Rattus norvegicus: one gene and its partner. Each later gene encodes a partner of the first gene's protein in a complex. Each region holds a gene or a part of one and is shown on either strand. Other genes may lie near its edges. The genes, in order: Rims2 and Unc13a.

The links.
Region 2: the proteins of Rims2 (region 1) and Unc13a are in contact, whole or in part, in a crystal structure (PDB 2CJS), measured with the Rattus norvegicus proteins. Residues at the interface, in XP_063118965.1 of Rattus norvegicus: Asp102, Gly103, Cys104, Ser109, Gln112, Val123, Leu125, Ser127, Asn128, Lys129, Val134, Met135, Trp136; in NP_074052.2 of Rattus norvegicus: Tyr23, Ile36, Trp65, Leu69, Ile70, Trp71, Asp72, Thr73, Met74.

The regions. Positions count from the first base shown.
Region 1 is NC_086025.1:72,603,009-72,613,311, reverse strand, and holds the start of Rims2 (regulating synaptic membrane exocytosis protein 2), read right to left. Parts: upstream 6,025-10,303; 5' UTR 5,842-6,024; coding exon 5,700-5,841; intron 1,517-5,699; exon of another isoform or gene 218-1,516; intron 1-217. UniProt on the Homo sapiens protein: Rab effector involved in exocytosis. May act as scaffold protein. Plays a role in dendrite formation by melanocytes.
Region 2 is NC_086034.1:18,399,314-18,408,996, forward strand, and holds part of Unc13a (protein unc-13 homolog A), read right to left. Parts: intron 8,059-9,683; coding exon 7,941-8,058; intron 7,154-7,940; coding exon 7,030-7,153; intron 6,793-7,029; coding exon 6,719-6,792; intron 6,394-6,718; coding exon 6,339-6,393; intron 5,719-6,338; coding exon 5,686-5,718; intron 4,558-5,685; coding exon 4,350-4,557; intron 3,627-4,349; exon of another isoform or gene 3,527-3,626; coding exon of another isoform or gene 3,504-3,526; intron 1,603-3,503; coding exon 1,045-1,602; intron 901-1,044; coding exon 792-900; intron 1-791. UniProt on the Homo sapiens protein: Plays a role in vesicle maturation during exocytosis as a target of the diacylglycerol second messenger pathway.

The DNA of each region.
Region 1 (10,303 bases):
TCGCCTCTCTTCCCTGGTAGACTTTCTTTTAGCTTTTCAGTCCTTTCCTGGTCCTCTTCTGCCTTAATGATCTATGTTATCTATAGGGCTACTGATCTACAAACGCCCTAAGGGAACAGCTGTCACCATTTGATCTCTTCATTTTAAATAGCTAAAATAATTTTCCTTGTGTTTTAGTTTCATGAAATAAAATCTAAATCAAGATTTTCTTATCTAGGCAGGAGCAGCTATTTGGGGGATGTCAGAGAAGACATAACGATGCCCTTCTCACCGTCCACAGAAGCACATTCCTAGTGGGAGCTAAACCCACAGACAAAGCCTGGCCTCAGACATCACCAGACAGGACTAAGCTGGCCTTTAAATCCCTCCCTAGAATATCGGGTCTGGGATCGCGAAAGACAATGTGCAGAATGGTGGAGCTGTAACACAGGAACCCGGAAGTCACTGGCTACTATGGCTTACTGGACGTGTGCTCAGGGAGATAGGACAAAGAATGAGCGGGGAAAAAAGAGAAAAAAAGAAAAGAAAAGAAAGAGAAAACCAGAAGCAGCCATGTGAAGTAGGAGTGACTGCAAGACAGGAAGAGGGTTCTCCTGATTTCCTTTAGATCCATGTGGGACCTAGATGACTCTGTTCATAGATTTGGTGAAAAACCTCTGCGAAAACATTATTCACATTGAAAAGAAACCTCATTTCCAGATTTGAAATAGAGCAACATTTCAAGGCTAGAACTGAAACTATTATTTTACATTGGCATTTTCCTCAAATATCCTTCACCTTATAAATAAATATATAGCAGTAGGTAGATCTCCGTCCTTCCTATCAACAACCGGACAACCTGAGGTAGAACAAAGACAGAATGATCTTCTTCCACTGCTCTAATGGCCTAGAGCATCGCAGCAGAGAGCATTTTCATGTGTGGGTGTAGGCCTCAGTGGTGATGGGAGGCCATCACAAGACCTTACTAGTCAGCTTCTTCTGTAAGCCATTGTATACAGAATAACTCCACAGGGAAACTTGGTCCTATTGCTGGCTTAGAATTTAACGAATCTAGTAAAGTATGAGGGAAAACAGGGGTCTGATCTGACTTCCACATTAAAGTTTTCAATTACTTTAAGGCAGTGGTTCTCAAGCTGTGGGTTGTGGAGGTCAAATAGCAGTCTCACAGAGGTCACCTCAGACCATTGGAAAATACAGATATTTATATTACAATCCATGAACAGTAGTAAAATTACAGTCATGAAGTAGCAATGAAAATAATTTTATGGTTGGGGGTCACAAAACATGACGGACTGTAATAAAGTGTTGAGAACCACTGCTGTAAGTGCACCATGGACCTAAGATAATGAAAGATGCTGATTCTTAGGTTAAATCTGAGCTGAAGCTGTTCATTTGCTTTTAATTCCAAAATATCTTACTTTACTTTGTCTTAAGTACAAATCTAATATACAAATTGTGTCATTCCTAAATGTGTATGTACTCATTTAATAAAATGATTTTTCATATAAAATCATAATTCGAGAAAATTATCTCTATAAAAAAATCCACAATGGCCTATACCGCTCTCTCTTGGCCAGTTGGCTGTGGAGGATGTATTAATACCATGACCAAACACTGTACAGGGAGAGTTAGTTTTACTGGCATTCAGTTTGTAAAGAACAGCACCATTCCGTTAGTCAGCATGAGTAGCTACACCTGTTTCTGCACATAGCAATGCTGTACCGACATTCATGGAAACATCTTACCTCAACAGAACAAAGGTGAAGGTCTATCTGCAATCAAATAGCACGGTTTCTAAGACTTAAGTAACTCCACACCAAGATTCACATCCTACTAAATGAGTGGTCTCTTAAAAATGTGTGTTTGTCTACAGAATCCTTTTGTTGCTGAGATGGGTTCTGTATAGCTCCTGGTGGCCTCAAATGTAGACTGGGAATTTTAAGCTTGCACCATTCTGACTACCTAAATGGATCCTTTTACGTCAACAACCCTTCACAGCCTCACGATGACATGCAGATAATTTTCCCTCAGATTTTTAGTGTTTTTAAGCTACTTTCATTTGCTGTTTTTTTTTGTTTAAGATTTTATTTATTGTCTGTATGTAAGTACACTGTAGCTGTCTTCAGACACACCAGAAGAGGGCATCTGATCCCATTACAGATGGTTGTGGGCCATCATGTGGTTGCTGGGAATTGAACTCATGACGTCTGGGAGAGCAGTCAGTGCTCTTAACTACTGAGGTATCACTCCAGCCCCTTGTTGATTTTCTTATAATTTAATTTTCAACTGGCAGGCATGCAGAAAGAATTGAGTGCTAATTTACTTAGTTAGTAAATTGTGTATGGTTGCCAAATTATATTTCAATCAGAGGTGGCTAGGTGAACTTTTGGGGAAGTAAAATTTTCACATAGTATATGTGTAACTAAACAAGACCCATGAGCTTAGAACCACATGGGACATGTAGATGGCCTTTGGGAGACCCATGAGCTTAGAACCACATGGGACATGTAGATGGCCTTTGGGAGTCCCTCAACCATTAGCAACTTTGCCACCCAAACATTTTTTTCTTGGACTCAATAGGTGGAAAGCTGAAGAGTTGTTTCTATAATTACAAAAGGAAATGTTGCCTTAAAATAGTCCCACATTCTTGTAAGTACCTGAAATATTCAAATATCCTATACATACTAATGGTCTGTATCAGGAAGAGTCAGTGTTAGAACCAAATATATTACATAGTGAAAATATACTTGTTCAAATAGGGATCAATGCTAAATAAGTGAATGCAATTTATAAATTGTTAAATAACAGGAAAAGTAGGATTGCCATCAGTTTTATGTAAAATAACCCCATGGATAGGGAGACCATCTTTCTGGAATACACCCAGGGGAAAGGATGAAAAAACAAACTCACAAAGTATGCAGAAAAGATGAAACAAGGACCAGTCTATATAGTGAATTAACTCACTCTGCTTACAGAGACATCCTTTCAGTGCAGACTCAAGTCAGTCACACTGAGATACGTTACCTGTAAGCAATGGGTTTAACTTGTATATTTTCTCTACAGTAAAACAACGAAAATGACCCCCTGAAGAACTTCCATGAAATAAAAGAAAGGAATACAGAGAAGCTGCACAGTTAATGGCAATTATTATTATTGTGCTTAGTTTTCAAGACCATAGACTCCTACAAGGAGATACAATTGTTATGAAGTCAACAGTGTAAACACTTTAGTCAACAGTGTAAACTCTGACCCACCTTATGGGTTTAGATCGTAACTCTATTCTTTACTAGGGGAGGAGTCTGGAGAAACAGTTTTCAAGTATGTGCAGGATGCTGTTTTATGAGATGGTTAGAAACTCATGTTACTGATACCCAAATCAGCATTTACACACTCTCAGGGGACCCTTCTTTAAATCCTAAGTAGTAAGAGAAGGGCATTGCTAGCTTTGACATGCATCTGATAATTTAGTCAATCACAGTGATTAGCAGACCACCATACCCATTAAATAAGGATTTCCCTTTCTTGTGAGGTGGACCAGGTCTCACAGTTATGACTATAATAATGCTTCCAAGCTTCACAAACTTTATGTGTTCTGCACGGGTGTCTTAAAAGAAAAAACACTGCGAAGAAGCCCTGCTCTGGACCAGGGTTCTGAGTCTCACAGACCTCTGGGGGGTGGGGGGGATGCTGAAAGGGGAAAGGAGTGCTGGGAAACCAGGGGGAAGTTTAGATCCATTTCTCTTGGCTTTAAGTTGACACCAAGCCAGAGAAGAATCCATTTGTGGAGAGCTTTCTTGTTACAAGGAGAGACATATAGGGAACATTTAAAAATGCTACCTTCCTTGTGCAACATTTTGTATTGGCAACTCAAGAAGCAATATTATGGCACAGAAACCTGTTCCCATTTCTCATGTGTATATGCAGACACTTCCTTTTCGCATTTGCATGTATGAGACACAGTGTACTTTCAATTTTGAAAAATCATCACATTTTGTTTAAGCTTTTCCTACTATCTCAAAAAAATGCTTTTAGGATGGTATTTTGTAAACCCCTAAATCCTAATAATAACTTAAGAATGGAACTAGTTTCTATAAAGTAAACTCGATATTGAGGACTTGGCATTAAACATGCTTAGAAATAAATCTGCACCAGTCTATATTTTATTTAACTATATGTGTTCACAGGCATGCCTAACTTCGATTGTAGCAGCGTCACTACCTACTAGGTTGGTGAGTGTGCATAGTAAAGCATCTCGAGTACACAGCAGTGATTGTGACTCCAGACTTCAAGTGCTGGCTACAGTGACAACTGTCTAAGGAAGTCTTGGAATTTCTTTTTGCCTCAGTATCCTCATTTGTGAAACAGGGCTAATAAAGTTATGGGCCCTCAAGGCTACACACTGTAGGACCTAAGCAGTGCCTGGCTAGTAAGGGATTCTAAAAACTAGCTACAATTATGGGGGTCCAGTTATTCATTTTGATTGCTTTTAACTGTTTGACTTTTAGACATTTCCTAGAATTTCTAATAAATTATTATAGGAAAGTAGTCAAAAGTAAATGTATAAAACACAAACAAGAATATAAAAATGAAAAGTTATGTCTAAATAGTAAGTTATCTTATTGTTATATCTGTATTTATATGAGTCTTTATTTACAGGAAGTTAACATTGCAACAACAGCCAGAGAAAACTTGGAGAGTTACAGGGATTCAGTCTGAAGACTGACCATATCATTAATTGTCCTGTGGCCACTTTGTCACTCACTCCCTCACCAGAGCAAATATGGGAAAATTTATTTCTATCTGTTCTTAAAGCAGGTAATTAACTTCTCCTAAAATAAGGCTAGGCAAATTTCTAGTGAGAAGTCATTGTCACAGAATAAAAGAAAAGCACATCTTAATTAATTGTATAAATAGTGTTAACAAGATAACTAAGCTCCTCTGGGTATAGGCCTAAGGATGGACACAGTTTGCAAAGAACACTGTTTCTACATTATTTACATTAATTTACAAATTTTCAGTGTTGGTTGCAAAATTTTATGAGTTCTTCATCAAGGAAAAACAGGATCTGGTATTCAAAACTTTATGAAGGCCTGCGAATCTCTCAGTGAAAAGTTTAACAGGGCCAGTATTTCCCTTCACTTACACAGGCATCGTTGAACAGCACGGACAATCAGAATCACACTGCGCAGCTGGTAAACAAAGTTCCGAGCTAATACAGTGTAAACGCGCCTTTAGCGTCCACCTTCCACCTGTCCAGCGCATCTAGATAGTGGCTGTCAAAGGCCGGGGCACATAAAGTTTTACTGCAGCGGTCCTCAGCTTTCCCAGCATTTCTGTCCTCCAGATTATGCTGACAAAGAGACTGTGGACTTAAGAAGTAAACAAAAGCAAACGGATAGGGGGTACATAGGAGGCTCAACCTAACTCCCACCCAGTCTACATGCTCATTCCACTTCCAAGTGATCCATAATTCTAACTCCTTACTAGGACAACTATTTCCCAGGAGAGCCTGTGGAGCTCCGTGAACAACCCACTAACAGTGTTTCTCCGCCAGGTGCTCTAGGGGTCTCTTAGGCACAGTTCGGGCAGCAGAAGCTACTTGGAGTTCTCACCTGAGACCAACTCTCCCACCACGGAACCCAAGTGATCTACAACAGACACTCAGCCCAGGAAGGGTGGGAACGAACATGGGTCCTCACCTCCTTCATCTTCTTCCAGGGAGTTCATACAAGGAAAATAGCCAGCTAGAGCCTCAAAGGAGGCGGAGAGGCTGCTCCGGCTCTGAGAGCGCTGCATGGAGCGCCCCGCAGCACCCGTGCCCCCCAGGCCCTGCCGGCCCATCTTGGAGGAGGACCCGCTTTTCCCGCGGTACAAGATACGAGGCGTTTTGGCGGCTGTTGAGCGGAGACCGCTGCGGTCGGGGCCGGGTGGGTTCCGGTCCCTGCTTCCCCGGCCCGTGGCTGGGACCTTGGCTTTGCTGGGGAAGGATCAGGAGGAAAGCCGTCAAGAGAAGCAGCTGTTCACGGTGGAAGTCTGAAGTGTCACCCAGGGGAGCAGAGGATCCAGGACGCCGGAGCCGCTAGCCCGGGCGTCCTCCCTCGCCCCGAGATGCTGCTGATGCTGAGCCTCCGCCAATCGGAGGCTGGAGGGGGCGGCACCGTAGCGCTGGTGCCAGGGCGCACCTCAGGCTCTGGCCTGGGGTCTAGGTTGTAGCCGCTGCTGTCTCCTTTGGCATGGCCAGTGCCTTCCGGGCACTGTGACTAATTGGGTGGAATGAGTTAGACCTCTCAGAGTGATAATATATGGGCAAAATTCCTGGTAAAACTTTCCCATAGTAGTTTCTTTTCAGCAGCTGTTCACACTCCTCGGATTTAGGTAAGAGACACTGTCTTCAAGTCATAACCAGATTTTGTCCAGATCGTATGAAAACCTACATTAACCCTTTCGTTTGAAGTAATGGTAAACAGTCAACAGAAGATCTCTTTAAACAGACAACTGAGGCACCAGCAAGGGAAAACATACAACGAGGTCCATAAAGTTAGCATTCATTCTGGGAATGAATTCCTTCTTTCTCTACATAAAGCAATCACCTGCCTCTTGTTGCTAAAAATAACCCTATCAAGTGTAACATTACAGTGATGTACATTGTGTTACATCCTAGCATAAATTTGGAAGCAACACAGACATATCAAAAACAGCCGATAAGCAAAGTTACCACACGATTCTGCAAGTAAAACTCTGTCTCTGCTGTTTTACTAGGAGTCAGGGGAGTATCCTAAGTTCACACACACACACACACACACACACACACACACACGAATGTACACATGTTTTTTAAGTATGGTAGTACTGGGGGATTCACTATTCAGGCTCAGTTCTCTAAGATCCTAATGAATACCATGTATCTGTAGATGCTCACAATACAACAGTGAACTGAGCAGCTAAAACTCCCCACACAGGGGAGAAGTTACAATCACACTCTAGAAGGCAGACATTAACAGGAACAGTAATGCAATAGAGGCCAGGGGCCTGGATGAGGGACAAGTTAGAAAGGGTCCGAGGTCACAGTGCCCAGCTGACAGGTGAGAAGAGGTTTGCAAGTAGAAAGAAGCCCCTGAAGGTGTTGTCTGATGTGGACCACAGAATAGCTGAAGCCAGGCCGGGAGCACATGAGAAGGGACTTAAAACAGGATGTGCCACAAGTGACAGTTCAGAAAGAATGAGAGAAATGCATACAAAGAACAGTTCTCTCACTTCTTTCTAAAACTTCCAAAACTTTCCACACAAAACCCTACCATTGCGACAAAAGGTACTGTTATTTAGATCAAGTTTCCTGTTTTCCAGAGAGAGAGAGATTCATCCTTTCTCATTAACATTCACACAGCTCCAATCCAGTTCCCTTTCAGTATTCACTTTCCCACTATTAAAACCATAGAAATCTGCAAATAACTCACTTTTATTGACAGAATGGAAGCTTTTTACTATTAAATAAAAATTTTATTATAGGAATAAAGGAAAATATCACAAACTCACAGAAACAGAAAGGATTTATTTAACGTCTCTGATGTTTTTTGAACTTCTAGCCATGAGTTCTGAAAACAATTGACTAGCACTTGATCAACAATTTACTTATTTTAAAATGTTTATGGTGTGTGTACACGTGTGTGCATGTGAGTGTTGGTGCTCTCGGAGCCAGGAGCCAGAGATGTGAGAGTCTCCCTAGAGCTGGGGTTGTGAGCCACCTGATGTGAGTGCTGGAAATTAGATGACGTAACTTCTACGTCACTAGGCTCTTGATCAGCATTTTAAAGATGGAAACTGACACATAGGGAGGTGGCTCACAATGTGACACATAAGGAGGTGGCTCACAATGTGACCAGGCGATTCTACTCTCACCTGGCAATTGAAAGAATGATCTGTAATTACTGAGGAAACTTCAATTCCACTTCATTAGTCCTATGTTCACTAGTTTTCAAAAATATTTCTAGCTTCACATAAAGATGTATATTTAGCACTATTTGCATTTTGTTTTTGAGATGGGACTCACTATGCAGCCCAGAGTGGCCTCAAACTTACCATCTTGCTGCTTGGTCTCCTGAGTACAGGAAATAGCGGTGTGCCAACATATGTGGGTGGTTGATACATTTTTAACAAGTTGAAGCATTATTCCCTATTCTTTTTAGACATATCTACTGTCACCTCAATCAACTTAAAACTATAGAAAAAAACTGCCAGCAAAAACTGGAAACTGTCCAAATCTAAGATATGAGTAGTACACATAGTACATGAATATGTGTTTAGCATGTGTAGCTGCATGGTTAGTACATGCATATGCAGTTTACTATGTATAACTACGCACTGTACATATTTTTGGATTTACTTCTTATATGTTGAGTCACTATATTTCATTACACAGAAAGAAATATATGTCTAGAATATTATAACCCAGGATCCCACTTTATTTTTAATTCTCTTATTCATCCAAACATTAAAGATTAAGAGTCACGATGTAATTGATTGCCTTCCAAAAATAAAATCCTGAAAAACTCTACCAGAAAACATGGAAATCATCATTCTGAAGGAAAGATAAACAGATATGTTTTGCATATACTAGTATAGTATGCCATTTGATAAATACAAATAAATATTTTACAGTTTATAAAACCACCTCACTCTAATATATCAATTATTACATCAATCCTGACCGAGTGTTTCCTGGCAGATGTGCTGAAAGAAACTCCACAGTGTTAAGTACATCCACTCTATGGCAGGGCAGGTCTGTGCCCACACAGACTGGCTCTAGGTTAGTCCCTGTATACCATGCCACAGATGCTTTGTGTGTTCATGTAATAAAACTAAGGGGACAGAAAGACAGGGAACAAAGCTGACAACCTCCATTATAATTATACTGTACATTTATTCATGAAAATAAATGCTGACAACCCAACCTTAAAGTCAGACTGCTTATTTTATCTACATGACTATGTTAAATACATGTTTTCCTTATAAAACATAACAATCCATATGGCCTAACCATAAGGTCTGAAATAAGCAATCTTTTTTTCTCATTCTTAACATTATGTCACTATGGTACAAATTAGGTGTACACCTTGAAAAGTTCATGTTTCAAAGGTACTTTTAGTTTTCACTTGGCAGATTTTGAAAGTGAAGAACAAATGTTACACTTTAGCAACTGGCCCATCCAGAACTTTAGAAAATTAAAGAGGTAAAAATATATTTAAATAAGATAAGAGGAAAAAAACTAAGAGAGATGAAGAGGTCAACAGTTTCCTTATTTATGCAGTAAGATTTATAATGGCATTTGACATTGAATCTGCCCATGGAAGTAAGAAAAACTACTAACTAAGCTAAAACATGGTGATAAGATTTGACCTGTGGCATGAATGGAGGAAAATACTTAAAGATCAAAGTCAGATGCCAGGAAAAGAAGTTAGACTGGGGCTTCAGAGGAGGGACAAATATTTGGATACACCAATCTTAGCTATGTCCCTTTGAGCATAGTAATATATGATGGTGACAGCTCAATTTATGTTCTTCAGATACACTACCAACTTAAGAGAACAGCATGAGGTAGTTACTCTCAGTGTTTTTACTTCACAGATGACAAGGCTGACAAAACATTCATCCAGTAAGTATTTGTTGAGTGCATATCACATGCCAGACATGCTGCCATCACTAAGGATACAGTAATTGACAAACAGAAATTGACAGGAATCACTACCCTCTTGCAGTGCCCATACTAGTAAGAGAGTAGCTAACATTTATAAATCACTTAATGATAAATCTTTACCCCGTCAAAGTCTCCATAAATCACTACACAGGTAAAGAGCACTCTGCGAGGAATACTATCAACACCCACCATACACTACGAGGAAACTGAGGCACACATTATTAAAAGTGAAGCCAGCAGCAGTAAGCTTGCACCACCGCGTAACACACAGACACAGGCACAGCACTGAACCCAGTACTGTTGCACACTCCAACTAAAGCTCAGGCGTGGTGGTTTTCGAAGATAAAGAGAAATGAGCTAAGATGTAAACTGTTTCTCCTATTCTGTTCAAATACAAATTGCATCCATGATTGCAAAATGCATGCAGATTTCTCCCTAGCAGCAAGCCAGCAATCAGTTCTGCAGCAGTGGACACCAGTGGTGTTCTTCCCTAACACCATCTGGAGTCCCAGATCCCCCAGATCGAGGGCTCCGTGCCTATACATGTGATGGCACTTTAGATACCAGATTGCTTTAGCTGTGCTTCGGCTGTAGATCAGAGTTCCCACAAAC
Region 2 (9,683 bases), on another chromosome or scaffold:
GGTCCTTTGGATCTGGAGTTACAGACAGTTCTGAGCTGCCCCGTGGTTGCTGGGAAACAAACCCGGGGTCCTCTGTAAGAGCAGCCAGTTCTCTTAACTGCTGAGCAATCTCTCCAGTCCTTTAATTCCTACTCTTAAGTGCATAAGGAACCTGGTTTGGAATGTCCATGGTGTGACATCGGATGACCTAAGCTTCCTGGTGCTCCTGCCCAGGTGGGATGGTCACCTGGATATCAACACAGTTCTGTGCCCAGCTGAGGTAAGGAGCCTTCAGAAGACTCACTTCGACCTCCAACTTCACCCTGTCACTCTTCCTGCAGAACACCAATTCTAACACTGACCTCTGACCTCTCACTGCTGTCCTGACCTCTGCCTTTACCTGCAAGATTGACCCCTTACACGGCTTCTCCAGTCTCAGGCCTCCAAGTGTGATTACTACAGATTTGGAAAAGTCCAGCTTCCATGGGGCTAGCACGTGGAGCCAGAGCATCCCAACAGGGCCAGGAGAGTTGAAGTAGGGGCCCTCACATCTGTCTACAAAGGGGCTCTAGAGCTGTGTGTTGTGGGTAGTGGGTGGGTGTGGATGGGCGTGGCCTGCTGACTGTGTTTGGGTGGTGAGCATGTTTTTTGGGTATGGGTGGAATGATGAGCATGATATTGTTGAGGAGGAGGGGTCTTAAGGGCGGTATATGGGCTGATGGACAGGTCTTGGTGGGCGTGGCCTACACGGTGGGCATGGCCTCCATGGTGGCCATAGACAGGAGTGGGCGTGGACTGGCTGTGTCACTCACCTCCTGCAGCTGCATGCGCACCTTGTTGAAGGCTCGCAACCAGTTGGCTTTGGCCCTGGACATGGCATCCTGCCCTTCCTGGCCCTCCTCAGCCTCTCGAGATCTGAAACTAAGCCAGGGAAGGCAGGCAGAGGCTTAGAACGGCTCTGTGGGATCCCAGCTTCCCGCTCCAACTCTGCCCACACAACGTGCTGCTCTCAGAGGCCCACAGAGCTCTCTGACTAGTGCCCTGCACCTCAGTTCCTCCGGATACCTCTCCTCAGACTTGGGGGGCTCTGCTTCCTGTGCACACTCCGCAGCTGCCTTCTCTTCAGGTGTGGCTGCCTTGGGGATGCCTTTGGACACATCGGGGGCCTCAATGGGCACAGCTGAAACTTTGTCTTCCTTCTGAGGTGCAGCTGTTGGGAAGCTGATCCGCTTGAACTCTTTGGGCTCAGCCACAGTGGTGTCCTCCTGCTGGGTATAGCTGGCCAGGTCATCAGGCACCTCCTCCTCCTCCTCCAACTCCAATTCCTCTTCCTCCAACTCCTCCTCCTCCTCCAACTCCTCCTCTTCCAACTCCTCTTCCTCGGGCAACTCCTCATCTTCCAGGTCCTCCAGGTCCTCCAGGTCCTCCTCATCCTGGTCCCAGCGGGGTGAGTCCTTGTGGTAGCTCACAGAGCTGTGGCAGGAGTGATAAGAATCTCGGTCCCTCTCGTCATCCAGCTCTGAGCCCTGTAGGCTGTGCTCATCCGGGTCGAAGTCCTCACTCAGCTGGGAGCTGCCCTGGCTCAGCTCCCCACTGGAAGCATAGCGGCTGCTGCCTGTGGGGCTGTAGAGAAACAGTCAGACCTTGGCTACCCACTGTCCCACACACACACACCATCCCCCCACCATCCCCCCCACACACACCCCCACATCATCCCCCCCACACACACCATTCCCTACACACACACCATCCCATACACACCATCCCACAAACACTATGCCCCACACACGATCTCCCCACACCATCCCCCCACCATTACACACACACCATCCCCCCACACACACCATCCCACACACCACCCCCATACACACCATCCCACACACACACACCATTCCCTACACACACACCATCCCACACACACACACACCATCCCACACACACACACACACCATCTCACACACACACACCATCCCCCCCACACACACACCATCCCACACACACCATCCCACAAACACTATGCCCCACACATGATCTCCCCACACCATCCCCCCACCATTACACACACACTATCCCCCACACACACACACCATCCCACACACCACCCCCATACACACCATCCCACACACACACACACCATTCCCTACACACACACCATCCCACAAACACTATGCCCCACACACGATCTCCCCACACCATCCCCCCCACCATTCCACACACACCATCCCCCGCCACACACACACCATCCCACACACCACCCCCATACACACCATCCCACACACACACCATCCCACACACACACCTTCCCCCCCACACACACACCATCCCACACACCACCCCCATACACACCATCCCACACACACACACCATTCCCTACACACACACCATCCCCCACACACACACCATCCCACACACACCATCCCCCCCCACACACCCCCACACCATCCCACACACACACACCATCTCACACACACACACCATCCCACACACACACACACCATCCCACACACACCATCCCCCCACACACACCACCCCCACACACCATCCCTCAACACACACACCATCCCACACACACACACCATCCCCCCCACACCATCCCCCACACACCATTCCCCCCACACTCCACATATACACCATACACACACACCATCCCCCCCACACTCCACATACACACCATACACACACACACATACACACACACATACACGCACACACACACACACCATCACCCAGGGGTGTGCTCAGCAAAGCCAGAGTGCCTACTGTGTGCTCACTCCTGCTCAATAGACCAGGAACAAAGGTGTGAGACCAGGACCCAGGCCTGTAAGCCCACGAAATGAGTGGATTGAGCACCTACCAGGGACTCCTCCTTCTCTGCCCCAGGAGCACAGGCCCACCTATCAGCCACACGTTTGCTTATCGTGGATTCAGCAGCCCAGGTGTTTGTGTTGCTGCTCAAGACGGCAGGAACCTGGGGCACTCGAGCCAGGCACTTACTTGGCACGAATTGAGCCCCTATTGGGTACATGCTGCTGTCCTGGCATCGAGAAGCACTGGCTTAGCTGAGATGCACAGACGCTTACGGGTGCAGCTTCAGCCATCTGGACAATCCCAGCCTGAGCACCCACTCCCCTTTCCCTGCAGCCCCTGACATGCTGCCACGTCCAGCCATCCATTATAAGCTCCTAACGTTCAACCTAGATTATCCCATACATAACCTGTGCCTGCCCATAGCCAAACCACCTTGACTGTCAGTTGGATGTGTTACTACAGTCATTCTGATGTCAGCCAGGGGCCATGCGCACACACCCCCTAGTGGTGAGGTTTCAACTGCACCGAAGGCCTGAGCTGGCAGAGAGGGGCATGGCTGGAGTCCACTGCTCCTGCTCACTAAGGGTAGGAATTGGCTATACCAAGATTCTTCCCTACTGGCTTCCACAGGCTGAGTCTGAATCCATTCCAATGAATCCCCTGGCCCCTCGACTCCCTGCCAGGGTCCCTGACCCTTGATGGAAACCTTACTTCACCTTTGATGGGGAGATCCCAGCATCGTGCTCCAGAACGCCCTCCATGATGTCCCTGTCCTCAACTGACCCCATAGCAGGTCCTGGTCCACTCATGTTCTTTGCAGCTGCATGAGCCAGCATTGGCTACAACAGGCAACGTGGGGATCAGGGTGGTGGCCTCAGCACACAGACTCTGCCTTGAGTCCGTCGCTGCTCCTTAGGCCTGCACAGCCTCCCAGCAGCCAAGCTTAGGGGGCTCGTACCCTGTCTCACCATCTGTCCCGCCCAGAGATTGCCACCACCAGTGGAATGTGAGAGTACTTGCCGCTCAGTTGGCACAGGGCCTGGGTAGCATATGTGAAGCCTTGGTTTCCATCCCCAGCATGGCATGAACCAGGAGTGGTACCTGTCATTGCCACGGTAGGTAAGGGCAGGAAGCACGTGGAGCCAGGACATTTAAAGGGAGCTTGTACACAGGACGGGAGCTGGCAGCTAGGCCTTGGTTTTGTTTGTTTTTTGTTTTTGTTTTTGTTTTTTGAGATAGGGCCTCGTGTAGCCCAGGCTAGCCTGAAACTCCCTATATAACTAGAAAAGGCTCTGGATGCTACAAGAAAGTGCCAAGGACTAGCACAGGGCTCAGTGGGTATAAGTGCTTGCCACCAAGCCTGGTGACCCGAATTCAAAGCCTGGGACCCACAAAGCAGCGGTGAAAAGCCAACAAGTTGTTGTCTGATTCCCTAACACACATCATAAAACACGTACCCCCCCAAAAAAAAAACCAAAATAAGTGTAATTTTAAAATGCAAATAGAAATGTTCTGTGAGATGGGCCCGTGCATTCCCGGCCACGCCCCAGTCCCACAGCCACCTGAGTGCCCGCGGCTCAGAGAACTCTTCATAGCTGTGCATGGAGTCGCTGTAGGACTCCCGGGACCCCAGAGGGGGTGGCCGCACGGAGTACTGGTGCACCGAAGCATTGGGCTGCGAAGTCGTGTAGTAAGGCGGTGGGATGCTGTTGCTCGTCTCACTCCTATAATCACTGTCCCGGTCATCCACGGCACTGTCGGGATCATCATCTGCAGGGAAGAGGAGGAAGAGGAAGGGTGAGGACGGGAGAGCACACAGTGGGTCTAAACCGGCCTCCCTCTGGGGTGTCTTCATCCTCTGCTACCGCAGCACTGACAGAGGCTCTAGCAGGAGGGAGGACAGAAGGGAAGCTTCCGGTGTGCCAGCTGTGGGGCCTGGGAGGACGGTGACCCAGCTGTGCCACCTGAGAGGATGAGGATCCACTGTCTGAGATGAGGCCAGTGCTGTGAAGGAGACTCGGATCTCCAGGAGCCTCTCGCGCTCACTTCCTAGCAGAGCACGCCCTTTGGCGCCCTCTGGCGGCCGCTGAACAGATGTCAATCAGGACCGTTTGCTGTGCTCACCGCTCACCGCAGCACCTGTGTGTACTAAAGCTAAGTACAGAAAAGCCAACCCGATTGGAGTTCTGTGCTTTCTATCAATTGTTTATAAAATTATGATATTGTGCCGGACATGGTGGCGCATGCCTTTAATCCCAGCACTTGTGAATTAGAGGCAGGTGGATCTCTGTGTGTTTGAGGCCAGACTAGTCTATACACAGTAAGTTCCAGAACAACCCGGGCTACACAGAAAAACCCTGCCTCGAAAAAAAAATATTACATGAATACGTTGTGGGGGCACATGTGGAACAGCATGTGTATGGAAGCCAGAGGAAATATTGAAGGAATCGGCTTCTCCTGTGGGCGTCTGAGATGGAACTCAGATGAGCTAACCTTTACCCACTGAGCCATCCCACCTGCCCCAACATGCGGTTTTTGACCCAACAACCTACTACTTTGGTTTTGAGAGAATCATCTGCTTTGGGCTCCACTAGCTTCCCTTTGACTCAGCAACCCCTTCAGCCAGACTGGGGCTTTAACAGTCTCTCTGCTTTCCACAGCCGGCACCAGAACTGAGGGCCTTGTGTATGTTGGGCTAGCCTTAGGGTCGACAAGGGTCAGATGGCTTAGGAAACTGGGACATGGCCCTGACTGCTGTTGATGACCAGGCCCCACTGAGGGAGCATCTGCGTGACATGGGGCCACTTCCAGATCAGCAGGGGGACAGAGACATGGATGTGGGGGTGAGGAGCCTTGGGGTTCCTAAGATGCCCACTTCCCTGAGAGCTTGTTACTTACTCTGTTCTCCCCAGCCAAAGTAATTCCAGTTGCCTAGGAAGGAACAGGCACAATGAGCCTCAGCCACCCTCTTCACCCCAACCCCCACCCGGGGGGCCCCTCAAAAGGCAGGCAGGCTTCTGACCGTCCCCCCAGGGCAGCACTTTCCCAAGTCCCCTTATCATTTCCAGCATAGGAATTTTAAAAAGCAAAACAAAACAAAAGACAAACCACCAAACAAACAAACAGAACCCCACAGGGGGTGTGCCTCCCCCTCCGGCAGCCTGAGGGCCTGAGGATCTGAGACAGTATCTCACAGGCTCTTGGGCCCCCCAACCAGGCTAGACCAGGCTGGGCTGAGAGCCACTTCAGTGATTGACAGGAGCAGTGCAGCCTGGCTCTGCAGTGGCTCACTACTGCTCAGAAACCCGAGGCAGGAGGATGGCTGGAGCCCAGGAGTTCTGGTGAGGCTGAGTCACACAGGAGCCAGTGTCCCTGGGACAGTGGTGGCTGATGGAATGGGACGGGGTCCCTCAGCCCTGGACTCCATGCCTGGCTTGGCCCTGGCTGTCACTTTCTTAGGCCATCCAGGCAGCTGCTGGGATACAGCAAAGCAGGAGTCGCACACCAGACTGGGCTGCTGGATGGAGTGGAGCGGAGCGGGCGGCACTCACAGCACTGGCTGCTGGGCACCGGCAGTGGCTTGTCCTGCTGGTCCTGAAAGGAGTACTGTGAAGGGGACGGTGTGTCAGGGACAGTGAACACGGCTCCCTCTGGTAAGCCCAATACATTCGACTTTAGGAAGCCACAGAGCAGACAGAGAAACAGAAGGCGACCAAAGAGGCGCGGGCGGTAGCCAAGCAGCCCTTTACTGGGTCCCTCCCCCCACCCCGTGAACACCACATGGGTCTGAGCTGTGTGTTGGGACACTCTGAGCACAGAAGGGAGAGGGGAGAGCGGCCAAAGGCTGGGCTGGCAGGGAAGATGGGACATTTCACGTCTCCCTGTGTCCCTGGAGAGGTTGGATCAGGAAGCTCACCTCGAGGGGACTCACCTCATCTTGGTCACGCATGGCATTCAGCTGCTCCAGCTTCTTGGCCCAGTAGCGCGCCTCCTCCTCGGGGATGTCTGCAAGCAAAGCCTCCATGTCCCGGGCTCTTGGGAGAGCTGGCCTCCCTCCCTTGGGACCAGGTTCAGAGATGTGGGGAGCAGCCTGGGGAACCCCAGGGATGGATGGAGGTGGAGGGGGGCAGGAGGCCAGGGGCTCCGGCAGGGATTGTGAAGACTTTGAAGGCCATGGCCTCCCCAGCTCAGTCCTCAAAGTGGGCACTGTGACCTTGGGTCTGGCCAAACCCTGTGACTCACCCAAAGGCAGCTCAAAATGTGCGTCCAGGAGGATGCGGTGGAAGGTGGGGTCCTTGGTCCCACAGATCTCACTGTCTGCCATGATGGCCTGAGAGTCCAGTGTCAGCCATTCTCCCGGACCCTCCTGGGCATGAGTGAAGGCAAAGGATAGGGCTCAGGGCCCCAGGGAAGGGCAGGGTCCAAATACTGGCTGCACACCAGCCTCTCTTGAGGTAGCCTCCCTACCTGCTCCCGCTCACCTGACAGCAAAGGTTAGACCCCACTTCCCAGGTGAGAGACTTTACAGTTGTGGCTCCCGACAGTAGCCCCAGTTCCTGGCCACCCTGAGGAAGCTGCCCAAGGGAGTGAGACCGCCGCTGCCCCCCCCCCCACTGCTCCATAACACAAGCACTGTGGACAACTGGGGTCCATCTGACCCTCAATTTCTTTACTACTCCTACAATGACAATCTTCTGTGGAGAATATCGACCACTCCCTTGGGGCTTGGGCTGCCATCATGCTGGGCCACTGAGAACATCCTGGGTCCCCTTCATGCTACTTCTGGCTCTGGCTCTCATGGCTGCTGCTGCGTTTCCTCCCTTCCTTCCTTCAGTTATTTACTGATTAAATGACAAGTATGCTCTGGCGCCTTGTCAAAGCATGGGCCACCCTAGGTGCTGTTAGTCCCCAGGAGTAAAAGCATCAGCCTGGCTTCTGAGGAAAACCCCTGGACCCACAGGGCCAGGAAAGAGCAGGTTAGGCCCTTAACTGACAATACAGCCCTGATGGGATTCTCTGGTGTCCACTTTAAATCACTAGGTGGTAGCCCCAACTGAGCATGTTGGTGGGGGATGGGGGTGAGCAGGCCTCACCTTCTTTAGACCACAAGCCCCTGGGCCTCTGCCAGGCTCTCTTCTCCACCTGTCACTCACCTCATTGGACTGACGGATGGTCCGAAGTGGGATCCACACAGTACCCACCATTGTGTCCCAGATGAGACCCTTGTTCCACACCTCCACCGTCAGGCCCAGATCCAGGCGGTTGATCTCACTGTGTGCACAGCACAGGGGAATGGGAAGGAAAGAAGACAGGCTCAGAGAGGTCAGTGCACTGGCCTGAAGACACACAGCACACTGCAGTAGGAAGCCAGGCCTGGAGGAGCCGGTGCCAAGAATGGCAACACATTGGTTCATTCTCTGGAAGGGAAACTGAGGCCATGGGAGGGAGCATGTAGCTCAGACTATCACAGGCAGCCAGAGTTGCATCTGGGAGAAAAGGACTGGGAACAGAAGTTACCATCTCACCCTCCCCTCCATCTTACCGACCCTTCAGGGGTCCTGAGGCCCCAACAAGGCTGGGCAGGCAAGGAACACGCACCTCCCTGACAGTTCCCGACCATTCTCCTCTTGGGGTATAACTCAGGGTTCACTCCTGTAACGTGTGACTTCTCTGGGCTTCCTTTTCCTCATCTATTAAATGGGACTCACCATAGCAATCCCCTCAGGGTACTGAGCACAGTTGATTTAAAAGAATGAAAAAAATCATAAAATAGGGTGTGGCCCAGGTGGCTGGACATCAGGACAGATGCGACAAGGAACAGGTGTGTTGGCACACACCTTCGATATCAGCACTCGGGAGACTGAGGTAGAAGGATCAGATTTCAGGTTGTCTTTGGTAATACAGTGAGGCCAGCCTGGGCAACTTGAGACCCTGTCTTCGAAATAAATAAGAGAGCCTAACAGAGAGACCATTTTGTAAACGTGGACGGTGTGGCTGCCTGGCTGGGGATTGATGGAGGGTACAGGTATTCAGCGACTAGCATTTCTTGTGCACCCCCAACCGGATTGACTCCTGTGACCTGTACCCTCGGAGGTCACCGTGGGCTCCCACCCTCCTTGGGCTGAACAAGGCAGGAGTGATGAACCCCTCCGCGGTGAAGTGTGCAGAAAAGAAGCCAGGAGGTAGCAGCTTAGCAGCGGCTCAGGAAAGACTTCCTGGAGGGGGCGGCCAGCTGGAGGGGGGCGGTGAGAGGCTGAGAGGACAGAACTGAGGGAGCTGCTGGATGACACTGAGGTGGCTTACAGCGTTTATAATCTTTTCCTCTGCCTGGAGAGGAGCACACTATAGGGGATAAAGAGGAGGGTGGAGGAGCAGGCCTTGGGATGGGTAGAGGGGCCAAGTGTGGTGGCTGTGGAGTGTGGGCACGGGAGGCGGGGCCTGGTTTGGCTGAGGACAGGCTTTCTCGGGTGGGAGTGGAGTAGTGAGGTGAGCGCGCGGAGCTTGGCTTCAAGCAGGAATGGCCTGGAGGCAAGGGTAGGGCCTGGGCTTGTCCTGTGGCCACTGGGGAGACAGGGGAGGGGGCTAGGCGAGCGGTGTGGGGGTTGTGGGAGGAGCCAGCTTGGCAAGGAAGGAAGCCTATTTGGGAGTAGGTAGGATCTTAGGTGAGGCCAGGGGCGGGGCCTGTTGAGGTGGGGCTTGTTTGAGCAGGGCTGGGTGGGCACGTACTGTGTGACCTATGGAGAAGTGTGGTCTACGGGGTGAGGAAGGAGCCAGGGGTAGGGGACGGGGACAATGATTGTGGCGGGCAAAGCCGTGGGTCCTGTCTGAAATGGCCTATGGTGGATGGGGTCTACGGAGCAGGATTATTGTGGGTGAGGTTTGTGGTGGGTCAAGTG